2 linked regions of the Oryctolagus cuniculus genome follow. The protein of the gene in region 1 interacts with the protein of each later gene in a biochemical or structural test. Links are inferred from orthologs where the notes say so. Each region holds a gene or a part of one and is shown on either strand. Other genes may lie near its edges. The genes, in order: ANXA7 and SRI.

The links.
Region 2: the proteins of ANXA7 (region 1) and SRI interact in a biophysical measurement, tested with the Homo sapiens proteins (2 studies listed by BioGRID and IntAct, with this or other methods). The link is inferred for Oryctolagus cuniculus from reciprocal best matches to the Homo sapiens genes ANXA7 and SRI.

Annotation. Positions count from the first base shown.
Region 1 is NC_091446.1:64,512,766-64,517,357, reverse strand, and holds the start of ANXA7 (annexin A7), read left to right. Parts: upstream 1-1,536; 5' UTR 1,537-1,672; intron 1,673-4,592. UniProt on the Homo sapiens protein: Calcium/phospholipid-binding protein which promotes membrane fusion and is involved in exocytosis.
Region 2 is NC_091447.1:47,180,062-47,183,865, reverse strand, and holds part of SRI (sorcin), read right to left. Parts: intron 2,214-3,804; coding exon 2,170-2,213; intron 893-2,169; coding exon 745-892; intron 466-744; coding exon 352-465; intron 1-351. UniProt on the Homo sapiens protein: Calcium-binding protein that modulates excitation-contraction coupling in the heart. Contributes to calcium homeostasis in the heart sarcoplasmic reticulum. Modulates the activity of RYR2 calcium channels.

The sequences.
Region 1 (4,592 bases):
TGAGAAAAGAAAGGGTCTGATTCTACAGTGCCTTGTATACTAGGAAAGATGGACAAGTTGGAAGGATAAAATGGTAGTATCTGATGAGACTTGGATATTTGGGCCTACAGGTCGGGAACATACTCCTTTCTGGTGATAAGGCAGAGGGAGGGGCGAGGAACACTGTAAACAAAGGAGTAGCCTAGGCTTCTCCGGAACGATTAAATTCTGGTGGAATCTGGGGGCAGGTATGACAGAAAGGCCTTTTACTTGCCAGATACAGAGACTAGTGGGAGCTGGGGAAAGTAAGGGTACCCAGAGTCTTGGGTGGTTTGGTCTGTCGTTGAGTTTGGCAGTGACTGATAGCTGCATTCTCAGGTACTTTCCACTTTACCCGTTTTGGGTACGTGTGTATGTTGCTCTTTCCACTTGAAATCTTAATCCACCCTGCTCCACTTCCACAAGATTTTGCATAGAAATGCATGTAAAATAATAGCTTTAAGGTTCTCAAACTCGAGTGTGCATCAGAACCACCCGAGAGGACCCTACTCTGGGCCTGGAGTTTCAGTCAGTGCTTGTAAGGTCTAGCCCAAGAATTTGTATTTATTTGTTTTTTGTTGTTGTTTTGTTGTTTTTTGGTTTTTTTTTTTTGAAGATTTATTCTTTCATTTGACAGAGTTACGGACAGTGAGAGAGACAGAGAGAAAGCAGAGAGAAAGGTCTTCCCTCTACTGGTTCACTCCCCAAATGGCCGCCACGGCTGGTTCTGTGCCAATCCGAAGCCATGAGCCAGGTGCCCCCTCCTGGTCTCCTATGCGGGTGCAGGGCCCAAGCACTTGGGCCACCCTCTGCTGCCCTCCCGGGCCACAGCAGAGAGCTGGACTGGAAGAGGAGCAACCGGGACCAGAACCCGGCGCCCACATGGGATGCTGGCGCCGCAGGCAGAGGATTAACCAAGTGAGCCGTGGCGCGGGGCCCCCAAGAATTTGTATTTCTAACAGGTTTCCAGATGATGACACTGCTCTAGGGACCACATTCTGAGAACCACTGTGAAAGGTTGAGTGGTTTTTGCCCTGGAATACAAATTCCTTAACCCGTTTTCAGATATTGGTGTGAGCCCTTGTAATTGCCTCAAATGTTCACTTCTGGTGTGTGTTTAATGCTGTCATGAAGGGAGCCTAGAATCACCTAAGAACTCGCTCGCGGAGTCGTTTTTGATTAGTACATCCTCACTTCCTGGCTGTGCAGAAGAACCAATAACCACTATTTCACAGGTGGCTAATACAAAACGCTGTGCTTGTCGCCGGAAGATGCCTGAAGGACGGCATTTCACAGGCAGAGAGTAGTGTCAGCCCCTCTCCCCCGCCCACCACGGAAGGGGCTCGGGGATCCCCCGAGAACCACTGCAACTCCCTTACTCCCTAGAGCGCAGGGATTGCGGTGGGAGCCTGGGGACCGAGAAATGTGATAAAACCGGCTGGGTCACTGGAAGGGAGCGACTTTTCCCGCAGGTGGGGCCGCGGGGCGGGGCGAGGGGAAAGGTCGGCCCGCGCCGGGCTCCGGCGGGGCGGTCCCAGCTGCAGCGGCGCTGCTAACGGGCTCGCGCCGCCGCCGGCGTCCCGCCCGCCCTCGGCCGGCCCAGGCTCCATCTTGCTGACGAGCAGGTTGTGCTGTGACGCTGCCGCTCCCTCAGGTGAGCCTTGGCGGCCCCTCTTCCCACTCTCCCCCGACCCTGACCTCGCACGGCTCGGTCACCTTGCCCCCGGCCAGCTCTGGGGCCCGCGGTCCCGGAGATGTTGGCGCTTTGCGTGTGTCCCCGCTTCAGGGCGTGGCGGAGGGGCGGGGAGGGTCTAGGAGTGGGGTTGGGGGTGGGCAGCGGCTCGGGACCCGGCTGCGAGGTGGGCGCGCGTGGAGGTGGACGCGGGTGGCGGCGCCTGGGAGAGAGGAGGGGGTCTCGGCCGTCGCTTGGCGGCGCGCAGATCCGAGCGGGCAGGGACGGCCGGCCCTCAGGTGGAGGGGCTGAGGCCAGGGGTGGCCTTGCTGACGCCCCCGCAGCGGAGGCCGAGTAGGAGCGTTACTGAAGACCACGCCTGGCTGGGGACCGCGCGCTCTGGTGACACTGCATATTTAGGGAAACTTGGGACGTTGCTGTGCGTAGTTAACCCTAGGGCGTGCGCCAGCCCGAGGTCGTACGTTGCTTCGGGTTCACAACTCTTAACTACTCGAGGAAAGAGCATTCCGGGTTTGATTCCCGTTCCGTGACCTGCGGCGGACCCTTCCCAGGGAAACCAAGGCACCGAGGGAGAGCCGGCCGGTGTCTGCCGTGAGGTGACACTGTCTGCCTCTTGCCTTCAGACTCCCCGGTTGCTGCCAGCCGATGGGGAGCTGATGCGATAGTCATCTGCCCTGATTAGGTACCGAGTGTAACGATTGGCTTCTCAGGTGCGAAAGGCTTTGCGAGCGCTAGGTAGGCGGCTGCAGGAGTCGGCCCCTGCGGACCTCGACTGCTTTTCAGCCCTCAGCGCCTCTCCCAGGGCAGGGCCAGTCGTGCCCTCCACGCTTTTTTTTTTTTTTTTCCGTTCCGGACCTAGAGGCCAGTTTTGGAAAATTGTATCTGCTGTTGCCTAACTTTAGTCACTTTTCCTGTTGTTTCCCTCCTCCTCCTTTTTTTTTTTTTTTTTAACCCCACCCCCACCCCGCGTAAGTTTGCAACAGCTGCCTCTTGTCCCTGGGCTGCATGCCATCCGTGAGACGCCCATGGTGGGCCCCTCCCCTTTTACTAGGTGACTCACTGGGTGGAGATTGGTTTGGAGAAGCAACAATAATTTTCTGGTTTTAAAAAAGTGATTGCTGACAGAGAATGTTTAAAAGAAAACCTCTGGTTCACCAGTAGAGTCTCATTCACTGGGCAAGGCTAAGTCATTTGTTGAGTCACATTTTGTGATTATTTTTTTAATCTACTGTTTGAATAGATGATACAGACATAATTCTGAAAGTGCTCAAGGTACACTGGAAAGTAAGCCTCCCTCCAGGAGCCACCGTTTTATACTTCCTTGAATATCCTTTCAGGAATATTCTGTACATATACTACACGAGACAATAAGTGTATTTTTTTTACTCATAAGTTTGCAGACCTCTTGTGCACTTTTTTACTTTTTCCCCCTTCATATTAAGTGTTGGAGATGATTTAATGTTTGAATTTAAAAACTTTTTTTAAGATTTATTTTATTATTTATATGAAAGAGTTATACAGAGAGAAGGAGAGGCCGAGAGAGAGAGGTCTTCCATCCGCTGGTTCCCTCTCCAATTGGCCACAACAGGCTGCAGCTGTGCCAGTCCGAAGCCAGAAGCCAAGAGCTTCTTCCGGGTCTCCCACACAGGTGCAGGGGTCCAAGGACTTGGGCCATCGCCTGCTTTCCCAAGCCATCGCAGAGAGCTTGAATGGAAGTGGAGCAGCTGGAACCTGAACCAGTACCCTTATGGGTGGGATGTGGGCACTGCAAGTGGCAGCTTTACCCGCTATGTTACAGTGCCGGAAAAGGTTTATTTAAAAAAAATTTATTTGAAAGACGGCTTCCAGAGAGAGGGAGAGAGAACTTCTGTTCACTGTTCGACTCCCCAAATGACTGCAAAAGCTGGGACTGAACCAGGATAAAGTCAGGAGCATGGAGCTCCATCTGGGTCTTCCAAGTGGTTGGCAGGGTCTCATGCACGCCTGTCTTGTGCTGCCTTCCTAGATAATTCAGCAGGGAGCTGGATGGGAAGTGGAGGAGCAGGAACTTGAGCCAGTGTCCATTTGGGTTGCTGGTGTTGCAGGCATGCTATGCCACAATGCCAGCCCAAACTGCTTTTTTTTTTTTTTTTTGGATAGAGTTAGAGAGAAAGGTCTTCTTTCCGTTGGTTCACCTCGCAAATGGCCGCTACGGCCAGCGCTGCGCCAGTCCAAAGCCAGGAGCCAGGTGCTTCCTCCTGGTCTACCACGCGGGTGCAGGGCCCAAGCACTTAGGCCATCCTCCACTGCACTCCCGGGCCACAGCAGAGAGCTGGACTGGAAGAGGAGCAGCCGGGACTAGAACCTGGCACCCATATGGGATGCCAGTGCCGCAGGTGGAGGATTAACCAAGTGAGCCAAGGTGCCGGCCCCACTGCTTCGTTTTTAATAGCTGCGTCTTTGTCACATGGATATCCATAAGTTTTTTTTAATATCCATAAATTGTTGCATGTGTCTCTTATTGGTGGACATCTAGATTATTTTTAACCTTTTCCTGTTACAAATAATGCTGTAATGAATAGCTTGGTCCATAATTTGCACTGGTGCAATTATTTCTCTAAGATTGATTTCTGCAAATGAAATTGTGTTCTATTCCTTTATGTAATTCTTTTTTTTTTTTTTTTTTTTGACAGAGTTAGAGAGAGAGAGAGAGAGAGAGAGAGAAAGGTCTTCCTTCTGTTGGTTCACTCCCCAAATGGCTGCTATGGCCGGCGCACTGTGCCGATCCAAAGCCAGGAGCCAGGTGCTTCCTCCTGGTCTCCCATGCAGGTGCAGGGCCCAAGCACTCGGGCCATCCTCCACTGCCTTCCCAGGCCACAGCAGAGAGCTGGACTGGAAGAGG
Region 2 (3,804 bases), on another chromosome or scaffold:
GCTGTGATCAACCATCCTACCCATTTCGGCTCTGCCCCAGTGAGGATTCACTTTAATTTGCTCCTTTCAATCATTTCACATTCCAGGCTGAAAACCCTCATAAGATAATGTTCTGGAATATTTTAGTAAGATTTAGTGAAGATTATTTTAGAGGCAGATTACTTACTAACCTAAAAAGACTTTTGGACACAATTTGGTCGGATACACCTAATAGCAATGGCAGACATCCAACTAAACCAAGGGGGGAAATGGGGAGAATCAAAGTACAGAGGCACTGAGATATGTGACATGTCGGACGAGCTGTGTCTTCCTGGCTCTGGGGGTGGGGGAGCACGACCTCACGGGACGCACCTGTGAGGGCCCTCAGCTTGACACAGCAGGCGATGTAGTCATCGAAGGTGATCTTGCCGTTGGTGCTGTACCGTTTTGCAATTGCGTTCACAGCCTGCGGACTCAACCTGAATCCTGAAAGGGAGAGAAACTGTCCAGCGGAAGAACTCAAGGCCTGCCAAAAGAGAGACCGTGACACAAGAACCAAGCGCGATGCTTTAAGGTGCTGAATTCATTTGGGCTAAGAGGACACAACCACCACTAAGAACCAGAAGCTGCCTTCAGGAGCTCTTATTTTGAGAATGAAAAACAGAAAGAACGAGTCCTCCCAGTTCACAAAGCAGGGTGGCCCCATTCCTGCGCCTAAGTGACCCTCTGGTTTCGCGCGCTTTGTGCTGGGTCGGCCATACGCACCCATTGCTGTCAGCGCCTTCTGCAACTCCTGTGGCTCCACGGTTCCACTCCTGTCGCTGTCAAAACTGATGAAGTGTTGTCTCCAGCCATTCAGCACGGCCCAGAGTTCTTTAAATTCAGTGAAACCCATGGTGCCAGACATATCTCTCTGAACCGCCATCAAGGATCACAGCTTCTTTATTTCACAATGTTTTCTAATGATTGTATGCAAGTTCAAGGATAAGAGGCACTCAATGTTCTTTCTGATAAAATGGCTAAAAAAAAGTCACTGCAGATGCTTCTTGCTATAATAAGAATAAATTGATGATAAAACAAAAAAAGATACGACAGAAAGGGCCCATGGAGGAGAAACTCCGAGTAACCATAATAACTGTGGGGAAAGATAAGCTGTGAGAGCCGATAACCAAGAACCGGCAGCACCACCGTGAGCCCACGCGAACAGCCACTGTGTTGCAGGAACTGGGTGCCCAGGCGGGGCTGTTCATCCTCAGCCCTGGGCCCTCTATGCTCAGACATTCCCTTGTGAAACCCTCCTGTACCCAAGGACTACAATTTCCGGGAAACGAGGTGGGAAGGAAGACACCATGAGGTCAGCACAGGAAAACTGATGTGAAAAATCGCATCGCTTGGAAGTCAGGTGTCACTCACATGGAGCAGGCAACGTGACAGACAAAAGCTTTTCTGACCCGCTGGCTTCTGGAAGGGGGACTTCCGAAAGTTTGTGAAGAAATGGAATTCAAAGGTAATTTTGGTGCAAGAAAATTTTGAAACCTATGCATACATTTTTTCATATGTACTTTCCATGAGTTTTTTTATTTTTTTGACAGGCAGAGTAGACAGTGAGAGAGTGAGAGTGAGAGAGAGAGAGAGAGAGACAGAGAGAAAGGTCTTCCTTTGCCCTTGGTTCATCCTCCAATGGCCACCACAGCCGGCACACCATGCTGATCCGAAGGCAGGAGCCAGGTGCTTCTCCTGGTCTCCCATGCGGGTGCAGGGCCCAAGCACTTGGGCCATCCTCCACTGCACTCCCTGGCCACAGCAGAGAGTTGGCCTAGAAGAGGGGCAACTGGGACAGAATCCGGCGCCCCGACTGGGACTAGAACCTGGTGTGCCGGCGCCGCAAGGTGGAGGATTAGCCTAGTGAGCCGCAGCGCCGGCCTCCCTCCATGAGTTTTTAAAGTACCCTTGGCTTGTTTTACTTTGATTCTTCCTTGTATGTTTGACTAACATTCTACTTACTAAACCTCCTTTCGTTCTTTTTTCATATCAAATCACATCCAAAAAGGCAAATCATTTCAGAAGGCTTCTGAGTGGTCATTTGTCTCTTCATGTTGACTGGGTTTTAATTCTGAGATAACGTCCCTTAAGGGTGAATTTTTTTTGTAAGGAAACAACATTCTAGACAAGACTCAAAATAAAGGATACATCCAGCATTGAGACCATAAGTCGACAAGTCTCCAGGTTGAAAGCTGGTAAGAAAAGGACACAAATACATTAACACAGCTTCAGAAATCCACCCTACACTGAGCACGAATTAATTAAGATGTGGTTATTCATATACTTTTGTTTTTATACACAACTCAATGTACACACGGCTGAATTTTATGGAGTTTTAAAGTAAATCTCTTGGTAGATACACACAATTCCTTCTAGAAAGCAAATCTGATTTTAATGAGTTCAGTCGGCACTTATAAAAAAAGGACCGCACAGCGCGTCCAAACATTCTTGCCTTTGACACTGCCGACGGTGAGTTCGGTTCACCCTAAGGAGCCACTTCTTTTCCCTCCCGTGGCGGGCAGGAGGTAGGCCTGCCTTGACTACAGCTAGCTGGTTCTGCTCCTTTCTGCATGGTCACTTGTTTCGCTTTTTCCTTTAATGAAAGGCACTGCGCGGTGCCCTCCTGTCTCAAGCAGCCCGTGGCCTCTCCCCCTACACAGGTAGCTCTCCCTGCACAGGAAAGCGGAGAAGCATGCCTGTTAGAGTTGTGTGCTGAGTCCGGGAAGGCCTGATGACTGACACTGGGGCAGTCACGTTCCGAGGCCATCACTGTTCGCCTGCGGCCGGGGAGTGTCCTCAGGGCATGTCAGAACTCACTTAATGCAAGCAAACCGCAACACACCGCATGGGTGTGGCCCCTCGTAATCTACCTAAAACCTCAGGACGGTGACCGAAAACCCACCCAAGCTCTTCTGCGGCGGGATGGGAATCAGCGGCTTTGCACGGGTGAGAAGGAAGCTGTGAGGCTGGAAGGCACCGGTGACAAGGCCACACAGGAGAGGCTAGTGTACCCCCAGCAAGCTGTTAACACACACACAACTCACACAACCTCGAGAGGGAGGGGGAGGGTGGGGGAGGAGACACTCACAGGGGTGGGGGAGGGAGGGTCTTATCTATTGGTTCACTCGCCAGGTGCGTCTGACAGCCAGGGCTCAAGCTGGGAGCGAGGAACTCAATTCAGGTTTTCCACATGGGTGACAGGACCCAGCCGCCTGAGTCATTACTGGTGCGTACTGGGGTCTGCACTGTAGACCCTGAGACTGGAGCTAGAGCCAGGAACTGAACCCAGCTGGTCCAACATGGAGCGTGGGCGTCTCACCCAGCTCCAGGAGTAACACTCCTTCCAGCTCTGCCTAGCTTCAGGCTTTCTCCTCCAACCAAGTGAGGACTGAGCTAACCTTCATTACCGTCCCGTCGCCGAACAGCACACACTGCAGGCTTTCTGCACTTAGCACAGGTGTCTGTGCGCCCCTGTACCCGGCCCTGGGTGGGCCCCAGCTGTTAGCATGAAGCCCAGCACCGTCACTGGTGCCGAACGTCCCACACACGTGTGGTTTACAGAATTAAAAGACTGAGCACTGTGGCCATGTTGGCCCCTCAGTCTCAGGATCCACAGGCAAGGGGTCCCGGAGGTGAGAGCAGGAGGCAACACTCTCCTACACTCTGGGGAGACAGCCGATGGATGACTCTTCGTTCTGACTTCAAAGCAGTGGGGGTGGGAAGTCCCTCATCTGCACCAGGGACTCTCAACTCCGGTGCCTCTCAGAATCACCTGGAGTCTGC